Macaca mulatta: one gene and its partners. The protein of the gene in region 1 interacts with the protein of each later gene in a pairwise test. Links are inferred from orthologs where the notes say so. Each region holds a gene or a part of one and is shown in the gene's direction. Other genes may lie near its edges. The genes, in order: QRICH1, NFIX, POGZ and CRX.

Region 1 (4,619 bases):
GGAGAATGCCTTGAACCTGGGAGGCCGAGGTTATGGTGAGCCAAGATCATGCCACTGCTCTCTAGTCTGGGTGACAGAGCAAGACTTTGCTCAAAAAAAGAATTTCAAAAAGTAGGAAATTGCAAAGTTGGGAGTCAAGACCAGCCTGACCAACTTGGAGAAACCCCATCTCTACTAAAAATACAAAATTAGCCGGGAGTGGTGGCACATGCCTGTAATTCTAGCTAGTTGGGAGGCTGAGGCAGGAGAATCGCTTGAACCTGGGGGACAGAGGTCGAGGTGAGCCGAGATCCCGCCATTGCACTCCAGCATCCAAAGAACAAGAGCGAAACTCTGTCCCTGCCAAAAAAAAAAAAAAAAAAAAAGAAATGCTGAGTCTCAGATCCCACCCTTTTCAATCACAATATACATTTTGATATAATCCCCAAGTGATTTGTTTGCACATTAAAGATTGTGGGGGCCGGGTGCAGTGGCTCACGCCTGTAATCCTAGCACTTTGGGAGGCTGAGGCAGGTGGATCACCTGAGGTCAGGAGTTCGAGACCAGCCTGGCCAACATGGAGAAACTCCGTCTCTACTAAAAATAAAAAAATTAGCCAGGTGTGGTGGCACACACCTATAATCCTGGCTACTCAGGAGGCTGAAGAAGGAGAATTGCTTGAATCCGGGTGGTGGAAGTTACAGTGAGCTGAGATTGTGCCACTGCACTCAAGCCTGTACTACAGGAGCGAGACTCCATCTCAAAAAAAAAAAAAGAAAAAGATTGTGGAAGCAGTGCTTTGAGCCAGTAGTTCTCAGTGGTGACCAAACATTAGAATTACTTTTTTACTCAAGGAGTTCTTTTGTTTTGTTTTGTTTTGTTTTTTATTTTTCCGAGACAGAGTCTCGCTCTGTCACCAGGCTGGAGTGCAGTGGCGCAATCTTACTTGAGGAGTTTTTATACGATTGATACTTTGCTCCCCCTCAGAGAGATTCTGGGGTAAGTCTGGCTATTAGTGTTTTTAAATAAAAGATTTGACCGGGCACGGTGGTTCACGCCTGTAATCCCAGCACTTTGGGAGGCCGAGGCGGGCAGATCACCTGAGGTTGGGAGTTCAAGACCAGCCTGACCAACATGATGAAACCCTGTCTCGACTAAAATTATAAAATTAGCTGGCCGTGGTGGTGCATGCCTGTAATCCCAGGTACTCGGGAGGCTGAGGCAGGAGAATCACTTGAACCCGGGAGGCGGACATTGCAGTGAGCCGAGATTGTGCCATTGCACTCCAGCCTGAGTGACTAGAGCGAAACTCCGTCTAAAAAAAAAAAAACATTTAAAAGTGCAGACAAAGCTGAGAATCACGGCACTAGCCCAGTTGCAGTGCTGCTTTTGCTGTCCCTGGGGCAGGAGGTAGAACTGCAAAGCTTCTTAAAAGTAGGACAGCAAGGAGTAGAGAAATATTTTCTTAAATAAATGAACTACACATAACAATTTTCTGGCAATTTTGCTGAAGGATCTAATATAAAACACTATTGACACATTTTCATGGTTTCTTTCCTATAGGCTCAAACTGTCCAGGTTGCTGAAGTTGAACCACAGTCACAGCCACAGCCTTCCCCAGAACTTCTGCTTCCAAATTCTTTGAAGCCAGAAGAAGGGCTTGAAGTATGGAAAAACTGGGCCCAGACCAAGAATGCTGAATTAGAGAAGGATGCTCAGAACAGATTGGCACCCATTGGGAGTGAGTGTCTGGGAAGAAGAGTGGGCTCTGTCTAAAATGCAGTGGTACTGAAGTAACAGGAGGACAAAATGGCAGAAAAGTGGTATCCCCTGTCTGGGGGAAAAGAGAGCAACATCTGTAATAGTATGTTGAATTCAGTCCTAGCAACAAGCAGTACTGACCCTGTGTACATAATAAGCAGGATGTGTGGGGTTTGCGCAAAACCAGGCATTTTTAGACATACGGGTTTCAGGAGTTGACCCTACCAGACCTGAACACAGTGGCTTCTGGGAGGAAATGGGAACCAGGTAGTAGGCACTCACTCAAGCCCTTCTTTCTTGGCATTAGGCTCATATACTCACATGATAGGCCAGTTCTGACATTACAGGCGTGAAACATTACAGTAGATACAAGTGACCATTTCTGTCCCAGCACCCTCATGGGCAGTATGTGTTCTGAGCCTTCCAGATATGGACCCCCAGGACCTCTATTCGTCCTGGGTTGCCAGGACCTCCATTCATCTTTGGGGCTTTCGTTGCAGGGCGCCAACTGCTGCGATTCCAGGAAGATCTCATATCCTCTGCTGTGGCAGAGTTGAATTATGGGCTCTGTCTAATGACACGGGAAGCTCGAAATGGAGAAGGTGAACCCTATGACCCAGATGTGCTCTACTATATTTTCCTGTGTATTCAAAAGGTAGGAAACAGATCTTCATGAGAACATGTTTGAGCTGTGTTCCTGTTGGATGTTTGCTAGTTTAGTTAATGACAAACAAGAAGTTAAAATAAGGAAGTTCTCTTTCAGGTATATAATGAGTTTTAAAATGCACATTTTTTTAAGTTTTAAAAACGTACATGTTCACTTTAGAAAATAAGAGCCGGGGCCGGGCGTGGTGGCTCACACCTGTAATCCCAGCACTTTGGGAGGCCGAGGCGGGCGGATCACAAGGTCAGGAGATTGAGACCACGGTGAAACCCCGTCTCTACTAAAAAATTACAAAAAATTAGCCGGGCGCGGTTGTGGGCGCCTGTAGTCCCAGCTACTCGGGAGGCTGAGGCAGGAGAATGGCGTGAACCCGGGAGGCGGAGCTTGCAGTGAGCCGAGATCGCGCCACTGCACTCCAGCCTGGGCGACAGAGCGAGACTCTGTCTCAAAAATTAAAAAAAAAAAAAAAAAAAGAGGTCGGGCGTGGTGGCTCAAGCCTGTAATCCCAGCACCTTGGGAGGCCGAGATGGGCGGATCACGAGGTCAGGAGATCGAGACCATCCTGGCTAACACGGTGAAACCCCGTCTCTACTAAAAAATACAAAAATCTAGCCGGGCGAGGTGGCGAGCGCCTGTAGTCCCAGCTACTCGGGAGGCTGAGGCAGGAGAATGGCGTAAACCCGGGAGGCGGAGCTTGCAGTGAGCTGAGATCCGGCCACTGCACTCCAGCCTGGGCAACAGAGCGAGACTCTGTCTCAAAAAAAAAAGAAAAGAAAAAAAATAACAGCCAAGCGAGATGTCTCACACCTGTAATCCCAGAACTTTGGGAGGCTCAGGCAGGAGGATCGCTTGAGCCGCAGGAGTTTGAGACCAGCCTAGGCAACATAGTGAAACCCCATCTCTACAAAAAATTAGCTGGGTATGGTAGTGCGTGCCTGTAGTCCCAGCTGCTTGGGAGGCTGAGGTGGGAGGATTGCTTAAGCCCCAGAGGTTGGGGCTGTAGTGAGTCATGATTATGCCACTACACTCCAGCCTGGGTGACAGAGTGAGACCCTGTCTCAAAAATGAAAAGAAAAATAATTAGCCGGGTGTGGTGGTGCACACCTGTAGTCCCAGCTGTTTGGGAGGCTGAGGCAGGAGGATTGCTTGAGCTCAGCAGTTCGAGGCTACAGTCAGCTATGATTGTGCCATTGCACTTCATTCAGTCTGGGCTGCAAAGCAAGACCTTGCCTCTTAAAAAATAAATGCATAAAATAAATAATAAAATAGGAAAACAAACATTATTCATCATCCTACTACCTAGAGAAACTTCTGTTACATTATTGGTAATTACCTTGACCTTTTTTTGTGTGTAATTCACAAAGCATTTATGTAACACTTTTCTTTTTGTTAAGGTAAACCTGATTTTCATGAAAGTAATTTATTCAAAACAAAGTCTTGTGCCAGCATAGAACTTTCCTTCTCATTGTTCCCTGCATTAACACTAAATACTTATTTGAAGGAGTCTAGCTAGAATAATATACCAATGTAGTTAGGTTTTCAGGACATCTGTTGTGAAGCATAATGGAAATTTGCAGACTGGCAGTTCAAGGGAGCAGAGGTGGATATTTTAGTGCTTGAAGGCTTTTGAGGAGAAATCACAGTATAGTAGAGTAGGGCTTACTGGTTGGGACTCATTCTGTTGGCCTAGTCTTGAGACATGTCTGCCTCCTAGTTTTTTCCTCTCTCGGTGGTCCTAACCTAAGTACTGTGTGAATTGCTTTACATGCTTTCATTCTGTGCTCTCCCCAGTCCTGGAAGGCAGATACCATCATCTCCATTTACAGGCAAGGAAACTGAACCCCAGAAATTAAAAGACTTGCACATGTTATTTAACTTACACAATATCTAATGGAAGACTGACCCTAGAGCCTATTCATGATTTTTGCTAACACAAAACAATGCCTTTCTTGGGTGAAATACCATTCACAACATCTGCCTTATTTACCCAACTCTCAAGAATGTCATGAGAATCAGTCACATGAGCTTAAGCATACTATGGAAGTGTCACATGCTGGTGCCTTAGTTTGTCGAGGTGTGAATGGGTAGGGAAGGATAGTAGTACTGGTAGAAAAATATATTTATTTCCCCTGAAAGCCTTGTTCAGGAGACTACCAATAACTTCTATTAATTGTTTTTCTTTTAGTATCTTTTTGAAAATGGAAGGGTAGATGAC
Region 2 (5,078 bases), on another chromosome or scaffold:
CAAGCAAATGGATGGGGATTGAGCCTGAAAGGAGAGAGAGAGAGGGAGTTTGAGAGAGAGAAAAGAAGCAAAAAAAAAAAAAACACCCCAAAACCCAACCAGTGCGCACACACACGCGCACACTCACACACACGCCCCATCCCATCCACGTCCTCCCTCGATCCTCGATCTCTCCCTCCCCCCCTTCTTCCTTTCCTCCCTCCCTCACTCCCTCTCTCTCTTTTGCACGCGTCTGCCAGCAACGGTCTGCAGCCGGTCAGAACTCGTCCTCTTCCCCGGGAATCTGCGAGCTCCCCCTTTTCCTCCGATCAGGCAGCTCGAAGTTTACACCCCTGTGCCGCTGCCAAAGCCGAAAGCCTTTTTCTTCAGCTGCCGCTTTTTCCCTCCTGGGTTTTGTTTTTGTTTTTGTTTTGCACGGGGGTGGGGTGGGGTGCGTTGTTGGTTGCGGGGAGATGGTGGGAGGCTGGTTTTGATTTTTAAATTTTGCATTTTTTTCTTTCTTTCTTTTTTTTTTTTTTTTAACTGGAAGAGGATGCACAGGGGAAGAAATTGAAAAAAAATTTGTTGGCTTTTGTTTACCTGGCGTGTGTGGCAACCGGCTCGCTCCCTCTCTCTGCTTGCTATCCCTGACCTTTCTTTCTTTTTGCTCCTTTTCAAAAAAAATATTAATTTCCCCCTTCTGTGCAATGGAGCATGGGGGGGGGAGGAGGGGGAAGGGTTTGAGAATCCACCCAAGCCCAGCCCCTATTCCCCAGAACACCAATAATAACCCCCTTTAAAACATTTACCTTCCTCCCCTGCTCCTCCTCCTCCCCCCTCCCCCCACCCGCCCCCAACTCACAACTCTGTTGAGTCCAGAATCTCAGAATCGGGCGTTGGGCTTTGCCGGGTGCTTCAGATCAATGGTAATTATTTAATTTTTTCCAGTTTTATTTTTGTAAACAGAAATCAATTATTATTTAAACTTCAAACAAGCAAACAACCAAAAAAAAAAAAAAAAAACAAACAAAACCGAGAGAGCCCATCCTTCTGTCACCTGACTGAGTGGGAAAGAGGGTGAAGGGGTTGTGGGAGGCTGGGGAAGGGGTCGCAAGAAGACCCATGTAGCTTTTAACCCTAATGTGGCCGAGACAAGCACCTTATTTGTGCTAACAAGAAGTGTTTTGTTCATTATTACTGTGATTAACATTAGTATTGGTGTCGATAACAAAGCTGAAATCACATATTTAGGATTTAGGTCTGATTAAAAAATGCTGGGGTGGATGTTCCAACTGGATCAGGAGAAAAGAAAATGAAAACAGCCTGGGGAGAGGGAAGCCTGATCTGTTTCCTCACTCGCTTGCTCGTGGATGTCATTTTCTCTCTTCTTGGGGGCGGCCAAAAATCGACCGGTGTCGGGGACCAGAGGCGGCCCCGCACGCCCCCGCGTGTGCGTCCACGGGCGTCTGTGCAGACGGACATTGCGCCGGGGCGAGCTGACAGGAGTTCACGGCTGCGATAGAACATGGAGATGTCATGGGCGCGACAGAGCCTGGCGGGGATACCAGCAGCGTGTGTGTGTGGACGGCAACGTTGTCTGTGCGCGTGTGTGTGAGTGAGTGAGGGAGAGAGAGAGAGAATAGGTGTGTGTACAGGCTCCCGGTGCCTCTGTCTGGCTGCTGAGGCTGAGATGGGAGCAAGTGGCTGGCAAAGCTGGTGGTGGCTTCAAACCACACTTTTGTAGAACAATTGCAAGAGAAAATTGTTGGGGGGAGGGAGGAGGAGGAGAAGGCGGTTTTCCTTGTGCCCCCCCTTCTAACGCTGCTTTTCTCCTTCTCTCTTTCCCCCTCATCCCGTCTTCCCCTCCTCCCGTCCTCCCTCGCCCCGCATGCTCCCGGCTTGCCGCCTGCAGGATGAGTTCCACCCGTTCATCGAGGCACTGCTGCCTCACGTCCGCGCTTTCTCCTACACCTGGTTCAACCTGCAGGCGCGGAAGCGCAAGTACTTCAAGAAGCATGAAAAGCGGATGTCGAAGGACGAGGAGCGGGCGGTGAAGGACGAGCTGCTGGGCGAGAAGCCCGAGATCAAGCAGAAGTGGGCATCCCGGCTGCTGGCCAAGCTGCGCAAGGACATCCGGCCCGAGTTCCGCGAGGACTTCGTGCTGACCATCACGGGCAAGAAGCCCCCCTGCTGCGTGCTCTCCAACCCCGACCAGAAGGGCAAGATCCGGCGGATTGACTGCCTGCGCCAGGCTGACAAGGTGTGGCGGCTGGACCTGGTCATGGTGATTTTGTTTAAGGGGATCCCCCTGGAAAGTACTGATGGGGAGCGGCTCTACAAGTCGCCTCAGTGCTCGAACCCCGGCCTGTGCGTCCAGCCACATCACATTGGAGTCACAATCAAAGAACTGGATCTTTATCTGGCTTACTTTGTCCACACTCCGGGTAGGTCGTTCTCAACCATTTTTCCCCCTCATTTTATTTTACTTGCTGGCATTTGTTCTGTTTATTGTTCTCTAATTTCCAAGCGATAACTCGCCGCGGGCCTAACTGGTGTATGCCCGTCCTGCCGGGCCTGCAACACGTTCTATGGGCCCTTTTCCTTTTTCCTGTCTTCTGTCTCCCCCAGCCTGCTCCATTCTTCCTCCTCTGCTCCCTGGCCATGTTATTGACTTTGTGCATTTCCATCGTTGGAGGACTTATCTGATCAGAAAGATGCTGCAGGTCTTAGGATTGGGGACATGATGCCCCCAGAATTATCCATGATGGTGAGAGTTTGAGATGAACAACAACAACAGCACACCAATATTTGCTCTTATTAAAATGAGTCAGAAGAAGTATTGAGGGGCAGGTACTAGTTTTCCTGCAGCTTCACCTCCAGTCCCAGGAAAAACTGGTTTTGGTACAAGCGGGATGGGCAGGAGTTGGTGGAGAGAAGGGGCATGTGAAACCCCGGGAGATGCGACTGAATGAACAGAAAAGAGGAGAGAAGACAGTAGTGGGCAGATTCTGCAGCCTAAATACTCAGGCGGGAGCTGTTTGGCTGGGATTTGGCTGTCAGAGAGTATGAAAGTAATTTGATTTCATAGAGAGTGAAAACAAGCACGAGATTCCTTGAGCTTTTTCCCTTCTCCTTATTTCAGCTAAAGTGGCAAGGCCTCAGGATGGATGCCCACAGCCCTGGCACTCTGCTGGGGAGCAGAGAGGCTTTCTCGGGGCACAAGCATGGCAGGGAGCAGCACTGCTGTGGAAGAGGTCTTAAGCAAACAAACAAACAAAAAACTCTGTAAAATCTCCTTTTCCTTTTGTGTTCCAAGTAGTTCTGCTTCTCCTCTTCGCTTTTCCAGTTTTACCCTGCATTTTGGGTCAGGGTGGTTTAGTTCTCCTCCTCTGTTCCTTTTTTTCCCTTACCCTTTCCCTTTTTATAATTTCTTTCCGCTTTTGTTTTCTTACAAATTGAAACAGAGATGGCTGGTTAATTTTTAGCCTCCACTCAGCTACGCCCAATTTACTGCCGCCTTTGAAACCTAAACGGGCGGCACTCTGTGATTAAGCAAGGCAGAAGTGTGTTTACATTATGCCCAACCAACTTGTAATGAGAGGGCTACCAAACCTTTCTCTGTGTGTGTGTGTGTGTGTGTGTGTGTGTTTCCTTTCCACCATTCCAGTATTTTTTCCCCTTCATTTCCCTTTTTCCTCTCTTTATGCGAATGTGAGAGAATGTGGCTTAACTTCAACTCTCGCAAAGGTTGTTTCCCGCGAGTGTGTGTCTCTGTGTCTTCCTTCCTGCCCATTCACAAAAAAGAAAAGCAATTCACAATGGCTATGGTCACCCCCTTGCCTGTTTGGGAAGTTGGGAGGAATGATATCTCTGGATCCAGAAATAAAATTTGGGTTTGGGGGTGCTTTCAGCACTGCGTCAGGAATGTAATCTAGATTAGAGTGCCCTGAGTTTATATGTTGGAGAACTGTGGAGAGGAGAAGATGGTATTGGAATTCTTGTCCTGAGAGGTTGCTTTGGTAACTGGTTAGAAGCAGGGGACACCACTCTCACCCCCCAAGTCCCTACCTACTTCTGTAGATCTTTCTAGGCCTGCACCCGGCCCTGTGTGACCATCGTGACCCGTCATGCTGAAGGGCCAGGGGCCAGTCATTCCACCTCCCTTCATCTTGAATTTTTTCTTTTTTCTTTTTTTTGGAAAAGAGACTAAGAGGGAAAAAAAAGTTATCCCCTCATTCTCTGTCTATACAGCAAGCCAAAGTGGGAGGGTGTGTGCCTGGTAGTATTGGAGGTGGCTGGTGGCTTGCAGAAGGCTCGGAGCCTCGAGCTTACCAGCGTGGCCATCAGGTACTCCTGCACAAGGGGATTCTGCACCTTCCAATTTTAGAACCAGGGGCTCGAGAGCATCTAAGATGAAAATCAACACTCATCTTCCTCTGAGCTGGCTTCCTCCAACCCCGCTCTCTGACTGGATCCTTGTAGCCGAGTTGTTTCCCTGGCCTCTTTTATTTTAGGCCAGATTCTTGACTGCTGCCAGCGTGGGGCTAAGGTAGGATGAAAAGTATGTGAGGAAGGAGACCGTTTCCTGGCCAGAAGAAAGGCCCCCCATGCCTCCCTGCCAGCTTATGAGATCATTCGCCCAGGAATATGAGCGAATTCATACCCCATTCCATGTACCCAAGGCCACTGCTCTGGGCTGGGGCTGAGGCCGAGTCTCCTCTACAAAAGCAGAGTAGGGAACTAAGGGTGTATTCTATATTATTCAGGCCCCAGACTCCAGATAATTTCAGTGAAGGTAGGATTTTTCTCACTGGAATTGCTTTAGTTTGAGCGTGCCTTCCTGAAGTGAGTTGGGGCAAGTTGGTGCAGCTCGGGCCACCAGTGGGCCGCATCACTTGTTCCTCTTTGGAGTTGGGTTGGGTGGTCTTGAGATGGAGCAGAACAGGCATGACTTCCTCCTTGAGCTGGCCCACTTTGCTAGAAAATGTCTTCTGTGGCTGAGCCACCAAACAGCATCGATCTGTGGGTACCACTTTATCCATGCCCATGCCTGCCAGACACACTCAGCAGAGTTGCCACTTGCTCCTTCCTTCCAGGAT
Region 3 (5,104 bases), on another chromosome or scaffold:
GGCCTCAGACTGCTGTGATCCTCCTCCCTTGGCCTTCCAAAGTGTTGGGATTACAGGTGTGAGCCACCATGCCCAGCTCCCAATAAATATTTATTGAATGAATGAATGGATGCATGATCCATTTTCTTTTTTTTTCTTTTTTTGTTTTTGAGACGGCGTCTCGCTCTGTCCCCCAGGCTGGAGTGCAGTGGCCGGATCTCAGCTCACTGCAAGTTCCACCTCCCGGGTTTACGCCATTCTCCTGCCTCAGCCTCCCAAGTAGCTGGGACTACAGGCGCCCGCCACCTCGCCCGGCTAGTTTTTTGTATTTTTTAGTAGAGACGGGGTTTCACCGTGTTAGCCAGGATGGTCTCGATCTCCTGACCTCGTGATCCGCCCGTCTCGGCCTCCCAAAGTTCTGGGATTACAGGCTTGAGCCACCGCGCCCGGCCTGATCCACTTTCAATAAAGCATGCTAATGGTCATTGGTCAACGGTATATGGCATAGTCTGCGCTAGATCTCATTGGCTGAGAGAATAAATTGACAGAGCATGGGAAAATATGTTGGAATTTTTCAAAGGTTAATAATACGTAATGTAATATACATAATGTAGATATATATAATGAATTAAAGTAATTACACGACAGCATAAAATAGGATTTGAGTTTCATATAGTCTTTTGGTGATTGATCCTAGAATCTTAACATGGGCTTGCTTCTCCAGATCAGGTCTGGTAAGTCTTCAGAAGTATTTTCAGAAGGATAGGGATTCTTCTCAGTCAAATAATGAAGTCCTTCCTAAGCATCCCACACTAGTGGAAATCACTCACATGGTTTTGGTATGAAATGTAATGAAGCTAGGTGGTGGCAGCGTGTGTATGTGTGTGTGCACAGTGTGTGTATGTGTGTGTGCACGGGCAGGTGCATACAATTTGGAATGCCTACTTCCACTGCCTATTTTCACAGTCTGGTGGTTCGAATGGAGTGTGTATATAAAGAGAACGAATAAACATAATTCTGGATTTCCCCTTTCTGCACCAAGTACTTGGTTTGAAGCAAACATTTGTGTATTGCTTAAATAGCAAACATTTTCAAATATTCAAGGAAAATATTAATTTTTATAATCTCAGAAAGCAACAAAGGACAAAATTTCTCAGCTACCTGAGAAGAGGTAGTTTTTGTTTGGGGAAGAATAAACAGGTGGATGGTCGTTTGAGTGGACCAAACAATTTCTTTGAGCCAACCCATCTCAGCCTTGATTGCAGCAAAAAGCATAAGGATGTGGAGTGTGTGTGGTTTCTTAGAACTGGGGATCTCTGCTGAATCTAGTCACAATGGAAGCAAAGCAGTTTCCATCACAATAATCGCTTTAACAATCGTGTGCCACTTCTTTCCAGGATCCAGAAGGGCATGAGGATCAAAATGGCTTTTAAAAGTTCTTCACTTAAACAAGGCCACAGCCACAAGGCTACTTGGCCGAGTGTCTCTTGAGAAAGAGTGAGTGCCATTTTGTTCTTTGTTCCAATGACAGTTGTTGGTGCCACTGGGCCTCACCACCTGGCCTGTATCATGAAGTCCTCCTCTTGACTGGGTCTAAGCCTTGAGTGGAAAGTGGGGGAGCCTCCCAACACTTCCTTGGAAACTCTAGGCAAGTAAATTGGGGAATATTTTCTTTGGGAGTCTCATTTTTCTCACCAAAATTTAGATACAGCTTCTGAAACTAATTATTCTTTTTTCATTATAAAAAATATTTTCCTTTATTTATTTATTTGCAGGCCCAGCCAAACTTGACTAGAAAAGAAGCCCGGGCAGGGGTTTGGATGAGCCCATGACGTGCAGCACGCTCCGACCAATTGGGAGGCCATGAAAAAGGGGAGGGCGGAAGTGACGAGCCGTATCCCTCCGCGGGGCGAGAGGGTCGGTGGGGGGAGTCGGCGTCTCTCTCCCCCGCGCCAGCTCCCGTACACGGAGCCGCATTCCTTGGCCCCCCCACCCCCCTCCCTCGGGGCCCCCCCCGCCCCCCTCGGGAAAAAAATCCACCCCAAATCACTCGAACCCGAGGGAGGCTTCCTTTCACCCTTGGGGAGACGAGCTTTCAACGGTTACCTCTTCTTCGTCTCCCCCCAAGCCCCTGTCCCCTCCCTGCTCCCACCCCCTTCTGGCGCCGGGTGTAAGGTCCCTTTAAGGCGACGGCGCCTTTCTCGGGTCAGACTACCGGCGGCGACGACCACGGGAGGTGAGTGAGCGAGCGAGCCTTCTCTCTCCCCACCCCCTGCTCCCGGGGGTTCCGTTATCTTTTCGCTCGGCGAGGCGTTCCGAGGCGAGACAATGAGAGGGGGATGGGGCCGGTACGCGCGGGGGTGGGGGCGGGGGGCCGGCGGCGCGCGCCCCCGCCCACCGCGAGTGGCGGCGCGGCCCGCGGCAGGGGCGGCCGCAGGGCGCGGTGCGCGAGCGCGAGTGTGTGTGCGTGTGCCCCGGGCCGCGGGAGCTGCGCGAAGGGCCGGCGGCGGAGGCCCCTGCCTGCCGGCTGGCCGGCCACCCCCGCCCCCTGGCGCCCGTCGCGGCGCGCGCGCGCGCACTCGCGCCCCACGGCCCTGCACACAGCCCGACGTCCACACGCACGCCCGGCGCGAGGCGTCTCGGAGGAGTGGGCGGCGCGGGCGCGGGCGGTGGCCCGCTGGGGAAGGGGCGGGGGCGCGGGCGGCGGCGAGACGGCGAAGCGCGGCGGGAGGGGCCGGCGAGGGGGCGAGGCCGGGCGGCGGCGGGGGCGGGCGGCGGCGGAGCGGCCCCTGGGGGTGGGGGTGCGCGGCCCTCCCCGCCCGGTCCCCGCTCGGAGAAGGAGTGGGGCGCTCGTTTTGAGCGGGAGGAGGAAAATGAGTGATTGCTGAGCCGATGCCTTGTTATGTAATCTCTCCTTGGTCTAATAGTACATCCTAAGCCTTAGTGCACTGCAGCTAGTTTACGAACTCTCCTCCCTCGGCCCCCAAATTTCTTTAGGGATGGCGCCGTGATTTATCAAATGGGATGGGGCGGAGAATCTCTATTTTCTGGTGATTATGTCCTGCCGCGGTGGGCGCCATGTTTATCCCGGGGACTATTTTCTTTAGATTTTTGGCAGCTTTTGCAAAGGAGTACTGTCATTAATCTACTTGCTTTCCCTCTTTCTGCGTGTTCTGATTTCCTTCTTCTCCAGATGTGGGATTCTCTCAAACTGCTAGTAGCACTTGTCTTGGACATTCTTAGTTCAGAAAAAGGTAGTGCTGATGAGTCCTCAGAGTCATTTGGTGGCCAGTCTCATTTTCAAAATGGAAATTAAGATGCAGTTGGACTATCTCAGAGCAGCCGCTGTCTTGATGCAGGCGGTGTAGCCCGTCCCTCCAAGCCCGTGGACACCTCTCACCGCAGCTCAAGACTCCACAGAAATGGGGTTTTACTTTTTTTTTTTTTTTTTTTTGAGACTAAGTTTCACTCTTGTCGTCCAGGCTGGTGTGCAAGTGGCACGATCTCTGCACACTGCAACCTCCGCCTCCCGGGTTCAAGTGATTCTCCTGCCTTAGCCTTCCTAGTAGCTGGGATTACAGGCATGTGCCACCACGCCCGGCTAATTTTTGTATTTTTAGTAGAGACGGGTTTTACCACGTTGACCAGGCCGCTCTTGAACGCCTGACCTCAGGTGCTCCGCCCGCCTTGGCCTCCCAAAGTGCTGGGATTACAGGCGTGAGCCACCGCTCCCGGCCGGGGTTTTACTTTTGTAGGCATTTACCCAACTAGAGGAAAGGGAAACGGAGGGGGCAGGGAGGGCTGCTCCTTGGCAAACGATTAATTTCGAGACACCATTGCTCAGGGTGTGAGAGCTTAAACTCTGAATTCGAACTGTTAGTACAATCATTCTCAACTTCGGGGTGCATAAAAAGTAACTCGAAGATTGTTAAACGTACAATTTGGGGGAGCCTCATCCCCCAAATTTATTCGAATGGAGCAGAGGGGAGTTGTCATCTCTACAGTTTTAAATGAGCAGTCCTGCGGCTGAGGCTGATTAATGTGACCACTACGTTGAAAATTACTGGTCTAACATAAAAGTGTTCAAGATGTTGAAACAAATGACACCTTGTGCCCTTGATTTCCTTCCCTTTTCCAGAGCTGTGTTGGTGTATCTCAAACTAAGGAGGTACATGGACTCTTGGGACGAACGTGATTTAGAGTTTCCACTCCCATCTTGAACTAGTGGTATAATATAGGAAAGCGGTTCTCGAAGTGTGGGCGGATGACCTGTGGGGATCTCCTCTTACCCTTTCAGGGGAGCCTCAAGGTCATAATTATTTTCAAAATAATAGTAAGATGCTATTTATTGTTTTCACTGATACGCTGATGGTTCAAAAGCAATGCTGGGTAAAACTACTGACGGTACCTTAGCACAAAGCAAGTCAGTGGCACCAAACTGCTTACTTGAGAATGCCCTTGAAGCAGTAAAATTTATTATTGTATTTTTATCTTTTTGAGACGGAGTTTTGCTCTGTCGCCCAGGGTGGAGTGCAGTGGCACTATCTCGGCTCACTGCAATCTCTGCCTCCCGGGTTGTATTTTTAGTAGAGATGGTGTTTCGCCATTTTGGCCAGGCTGGTCTCGAACTCGATGGCAGGCGATCCACCCACGGCGGCCTCCGGAAGTGCTGGGATTACAGGCTTGAGCCACCGTGCCCCGCCTGTTGTTATTAAATCTTAGCTTTTGACTACTTGTCTTTTTAATTTTTAAGAATTTGTGATGAAATAAACATGGATAAAGCATTTATGCTGCCTACGGAGGTGTGATTGTTGTCATGAGGGAAAAGCATTTGTGGGATTGGGTTGTGAGTGGCTTATTTCATGGAGTACCATGCGACTGGCAAACTGTGGTTTTTCACATTTAGTATTTGGCAGGTATTTCTTGAAAATGAAGTGAGCTTGTCACTTTTAGGAAAACAATTGACAGTATTTATTACCAGTGATAAAATTTGGGTGAAAATTAGAATTTTTAAAAAGTTGACAGCTGGAGTTTGACAGCTTCCTAGTACTTAAAAAACTTCCCTTATGATATCAGTGGTTAAGGACTGTAATATTTAAAAATGTTGTATAATATGTCATTTGGA
Region 4 (5,150 bases), on another chromosome or scaffold:
CTGTGCCCAGGCTTACTTTAAAAATAAAAAATTAATTTTTTGTAGAGACAGGAGAGTTTCGCTATGTTGCCACCTGAACATAAATGCTATTTTCTTTTTCTTTTCTTTTTTTTGAGACGGAGTCTGTAGCCCAGGCTAGGTTGTGGTGGCACCATCTTGGCTCGCTACAATCTCTGCCTCCTGGGTTCAAGCGATTCTCCTGCCTCAGCCTCCCAAGTAGCTGGTATTATAGGCGTGCACCACCAGGCCCGGCTAATTTTTGTATTTTTAGTAAAGACGGGGTTTCACCATGTTGACCAGGCTAATCTCAAACTCCTGACCTCAAGTGATCTGCCTGCCTTGGTGTTCCAAAGTGCTGGGATTACAGGTGTGAGCCACTGCGCCTGGCCCATAAATGCGATTTTCATTCCCATTTTCCAACAAGGCGACTGAGGTATACATTGAAGGTGAATTACTAGGAGAAAAGAAAGATGGCATTTTAATTCGATAAGTTTGTTGCAACCTGTACTGCTTGCTACCTACCTGCCATGGGAGTGCGTCTTTCCCCACACTGACCCCAGTGCCGGAAGTTATCAACCTCTTTCATCTTTGCCAATCTGATAGGTCAAAAGTGATCGTGGAAGATCCACACTCACTGTTTTTTTTTTTTTTCTTTTCAGAGATGGGGGTCTCACTATGTTGCCCAGGCTGGTTTTGAACTTCTGGGCTCAAGTGATTCTCCTGCCTTGACCTCCCAAAGTGCTGGGATTGCAGGTGTGAGATGCCTTTCTTGGTCCTTACTGTAGTTTGTTGTTGTTGTTGTTGTTGTTGCTGTTTTGTTTTGTTTTGAGACAGAGTCTTGCTCTGTTGCCCAGGCTGGAGGGCGGTGGTGCCATCTCGGCCCACTGCAACCTCCGCCTCCCGGGTTCCAGCGATTCTCCTGCCTTAGTCTCCCGAGTAGCTGGGATTACAGGCGTGGGCCACCACGCCTGGCTAATTTTTGCATTTTTAATACAGACAGGATTTCACCACATTGGTCAGGCTGGTCTTGAACTCCTGACCTCAGGTGATCCGCCCATCTCAGCCTCCCAAAGTGCTGGGATTACAGGCATGAGCCACCTTGCCTGGCCTTTTTTAATGCCACTCTCCCTTAGGGTGACCAACCAATCCAGTTTGGCTGGGACCATTCTGGTTCTAGCCTGAAAGTCCTATGTTCCAAGATACAGCCACCTCTCCTCCATTCTGGGCAAAGAGGGATGGCTGGTCAACCTGCAGTCCTTGGTTATAAGTGAGGCTGAGCGTGTTTGCCCATGGTCACAGAAAGAAGGGATCTTGGATGAGGAAGTGTTACGGGATCAGATTGGTTTTTTTTTTTTCTTAGAGTCTTGCTGTGTCACCCAGGCTGGAGTACAGTGGCCTGAACACAGGTCACTGCAGGCCTAAACTCCTGGGCTCAAGTGATCCTCCCACCTCAGCCTCCTGGGTAACTGGGATTACAGGCATGCATCACCACACCCAGTTAACTTTTTAAAAAACACTTTTTTTTTTTTTTTTTTGGAGACAGGGTCTTGCTATATTGCCCAGGCTGGTCTCAAACTCCTGAGCTCAAGTGATCCTCCCGCCTTGGCCTCCCAAAGTGCTGGGACTACAGATGTGAGACATTGTGCCCAGCCAGGATGAGATTGTTTTAGAGGGTAGAGTAGGAATAAGAGCTCGCACTTATGAGGCGCGTCATCACTTCAGCTCTCTGCTTTGCAGAGTCTCAAGAAAGCTCTGAGAACCTTAAGCAGAGGCCATTTTACACGTGAGGACACAGAGGTACGGAGGTGAGATAAATGGCCAAGGTCACGTACCTAAGAGGAGACCAAGGCAGGATTTGAATCTCAGCCTGCTTGTCACCCCATGGTGAGTAACTGGTAAGTGAGTGAGCATCCCTCCTCTTCTCTTGCAGGCCCCCTGACTTGGGCCTCAGCGTCCCCGAAGATCATGATGGCGTATATGAACCCGGGGCCTCACTATTCTGTCAACGCCTTGGCCCTAAGTGGCCCCAGCGTGGATCTGATGCACCAGGCTGTGCCCTACCCAAGTGAGTACAGTCGTTTCTCTCGGCACCCCAGGCTGGCCTCACCTCTTAGAGGACCTCTGGGGTCCCTCTGCCCCAGGAAAAAAGCAGTCACAGGGGCGACTTCAGGGCCATATACCAGCCCTCTGGGTTCATCTGAAATGCATGTCACTTAGAAAAACATGTGCAGTCCTAGAAATTCAGGACAGAGGTTCCTTTTGGGGTGGGGAAGAGGAGATGTAATTTGGAAGGGGAATCAAGAGGAATTTTCATCTGTTAGCAAAACTTTATTATTTATTTATTTTTCAGAGATAGGGTCTCACACTCTGTCGCCCAGGCTGGAGTGCGGTGGTGACGGTCACGGCTCACTGCAGCCTCAAACTCCTGGGTTCAAGCGATCCTCCCACCTTAGCATCCTGAGTAGCTGGGACTGCAGGTGTGAGCCATTGTGCCTAGGCAGCAAAGCTTTGTTTATTTTATTTTATTTTTGAGATAGGGTCTCATTCTGTTGTCCACTCTGAAGTGCAATGGTGCAATCATGGCTCACTGCAGCCTTGAACTCCTGGGCTCAAGCGATCCTCTTGCCTCGGCCTCCCAAATAGCTAGGATTACAGGTGCACGCTACCATGCCTGGCTAACTTTTTAAAGTTTTTGTAGATTGTGCAGGATCTGGATTATACAAAACATAGAAAAAATTAATTTTTTTTTTTTTGTAGAGATTGGGTCTCCCTATGTTGCCCAGGCTGATCTCAAACTCCTGGGTTCAAATAATTCACCTGACTCAGCCTCCCAAAGTGTTGGGCTTACAGGCATGAGCCACTGCACCTGGCCTGCAAAGCCTTATTTATTTATTTATTTATTTTGAGATGGAGTTTAGACGGACTTTCACTCCTGCCCAGGCTGGAGTGCAATGGTGCAATATTGGCTCACTGAAACTTCCGCCTCCCAGGTTCAAGTGACTCTCCTGCCTCAGCCTCCCAAGTAGCTGGGATTATAGGCACATGCCACCATGCCCAGCTAATTTTCATAAAGCCTTATTTTTAAGAGAAGTGAGCACTCAGTTATTTGTAGCATTATTCTTTAGCTCTTGTTTTTGTTTTTGTTTTTTGCATTACGTTGAGCGGTGTGGACTTGCTACTTTCTTTTTTTTTTTGAGACTGAACCTCGTTCTGTCACCAGGCTGGAGTGCAGTGGCGTAATCTCAGCTCACTGCAACCTCTGCCTTCTGGGTTCAAGCGATCCTCCTGCCTCAGCCTCCCGAGTAGCTGGGAGCCACCACGCCCGGCTAATTTTTGTATTTTTAGTAGAGACAAGGGTTCACCATGTTGGCCAGGCTGGTTCTCGATCTCTTGACTTTGTGATCTGCCCGCCTCAGCCTCCCAAAGTGCTGGGATTACATGCGTGAGCCACCGCACCCAGCCCAGACTTGCTGCTTTTATAGGCTAGAAATGGTTGAATGTCAGCGATGTCATGCTTCAACTAAATATGTCTTAGTGCATGAGAAAGCTTAGAAGAGGGAAAACGACTCACATACCTCCTCATAGAGTTAAAGCCAATTCCCCTTGGGGTCAGGCAGGAGCCACAGAGTGCCAGGCACAGAGGAAGGCGTAGAAGGGCAGGGAATGTGCATTCCATCCTTAGTTTAGGCAGATGGCAACCGGGATGGAATTCTTGGCATCCCACCCAGCCTCAGGGCCTCACATCAGCCCATGGTGGATGACCTGAGGGTCCTGTTTCCCTTCCCACCCCAGGCGCCCCCAGGAAGCAGCGGCGGGAGCGGACCACCTTCACCCGGAGCCAACTGGAGGAGCTGGAGGCACTGTTTGCCAAGACCCAGTACCCAGACGTCTATGCCCGCGAGGAGGTGGCTCTGAAGATCAATCTGCCCGAGTCCAGGGTTCAGGTGGGGTGGAGGGTCCCTGGACCCCTCCCGACCCTTCCTGTGACCTTCCAGGGGCCTCCCTGGAACTCAGAGTGATGGGAGGAGGGAGCGATCACAGAGTGACAGCCAAAGTTATCAAGGAGACAATAATTCCTCTCCCCACCATACCACTGACCGCCTCTTAAGGCTCTCATCGCCCCTCGCTCCTCTCCAGCCGCGCCGGGCACTGACCTGCCTGCCAAGCACCCTCCTGCCTCGGGCCTTTGCACTAAGTTTCCTCTATCTGGAATCCTTATTTTCCAGATAACCACACAGCAGGCCCCTTGTTCGAGTCTTTGTTTATCTATCAGTGAGACCCATGCTGAACACAGCATTTAACATTGCAGTATTTCCCCAAGACCCTGACTCTACTGCTGCCCACTATCCCGCTCAATCGTTTCCTCCACAGTGTCTATCGCCCTCTGAGATACCATACAGTTTACGTGTGTTTGTATCTATCGCCCTCTGAGATACCATACAGTTGCATATGTTTGTAGGCTGCAGGTATGATGTTACGTATATGTGCCTACACACATGTGTATGATTGGAAGGATAAATGAAGTATGTGTGTTTATGTGATTGTATGTATGTATGATTAGATACATTAGTGCATAGCTATGTATGATGTTATGTGTGTACAATGTATGTGCCTATAATTGTATATTTGTATGTTCATATGATCATACGTTCATACAGTTTATGTAAGGTATCTCAGAGTCCGTTTATTTAGACTCTGTCTCTCCCAACTAGAATGTCAATTCCACTGATGGACCCTCAAGAGTAGCAGAAGATGGTTAATGCATGTTTGTTCATTGACTGAATAGACGGATGGATGGATGGGTGGGTGGATGCAGAGATGAATGTGTATGTGTGACTGTATATGTGTGTGTGCATGTATGACTGGAAGCATGGATGAGTGTATGTATGTGCATATATGAGTGTCTAGTGTGTATGATGGACGGATACATTTATATATGTGTGTTTGTATGAACGCATGTAGGTATGATTAGATAGATGACGAATGTATGCACGCATGATATATGTATACATGATGTATGTACACATGTACAATTGTATGTATACATGCATGCATGCATGATTGGATGGATGGATGGGTGTATTTATTTATTTATTTGAAACAGAGTCTCACTCTGTCGCCCAGGCTGGAATGGCACAATCTCGGCTCAC

What was found.
Region 2: the proteins of QRICH1 (region 1) and NFIX interact in binary tests that used the Homo sapiens proteins (3 or more experiments, as listed by UniProt). The two-hybrid records come from large-scale screens. The link is inferred for Macaca mulatta from reciprocal best matches to the Homo sapiens genes QRICH1 and NFIX.
Region 3: the proteins of QRICH1 (region 1) and POGZ interact in binary tests that used the Homo sapiens proteins (3 or more experiments, as listed by UniProt). The two-hybrid records come from large-scale screens. The link is inferred for Macaca mulatta from reciprocal best matches to the Homo sapiens genes QRICH1 and POGZ.
Region 4: the proteins of QRICH1 (region 1) and CRX interact in binary tests that used the Homo sapiens proteins (3 or more experiments, as listed by UniProt). The two-hybrid records come from large-scale screens. The link is inferred for Macaca mulatta from reciprocal best matches to the Homo sapiens genes QRICH1 and CRX.

The regions. Positions count from the first base shown.
Region 1 is NC_133407.1:112,478,472-112,483,090, reverse strand, and holds part of QRICH1 (transcriptional regulator QRICH1), read left to right. Parts: intron 1-1,542; coding exon 1,543-1,720; intron 1,721-2,240; coding exon 2,241-2,395; intron 2,396-4,589; coding exon 4,590-4,619. UniProt on the Homo sapiens protein: Transcriptional regulator that acts as a mediator of the integrated stress response (ISR) through transcriptional control of protein homeostasis under conditions of ER stress.
Region 2 is NC_133424.1:13,593,854-13,598,931, forward strand, and holds the start of NFIX (nuclear factor 1 X-type), read left to right. Parts: upstream 1-1,449; 5' UTR 1,450-1,504; coding exon of another isoform or gene 1,505-1,515; coding exon 1,516-1,590; exon of another isoform or gene 1,591-1,622; intron 1,623-1,891; coding exon 1,892-2,423; intron 2,424-5,078.
Region 3 is NC_133406.1:115,623,369-115,628,472, forward strand, and holds the start of POGZ (pogo transposable element with ZNF domain), read left to right. Parts: upstream 1-1,915; 5' UTR 1,916-2,215; exon of another isoform or gene 2,216-2,307; coding exon of another isoform or gene 2,308-2,327; intron 2,328-5,104. UniProt on the Homo sapiens protein: Plays a role in mitotic cell cycle progression and is involved in kinetochore assembly and mitotic sister chromatid cohesion.
Region 4 is NC_133424.1:60,315,487-60,320,636, forward strand, and holds the start of CRX (cone-rod homeobox protein), read left to right. Parts: upstream 1-1,965; coding exon 1,966-2,065; intron 2,066-3,792; coding exon 3,793-3,944; intron 3,945-5,150. UniProt on the Homo sapiens protein: Transcription factor that binds and transactivates the sequence 5'-TAATC[CA]-3' which is found upstream of several photoreceptor-specific genes, including the opsin genes.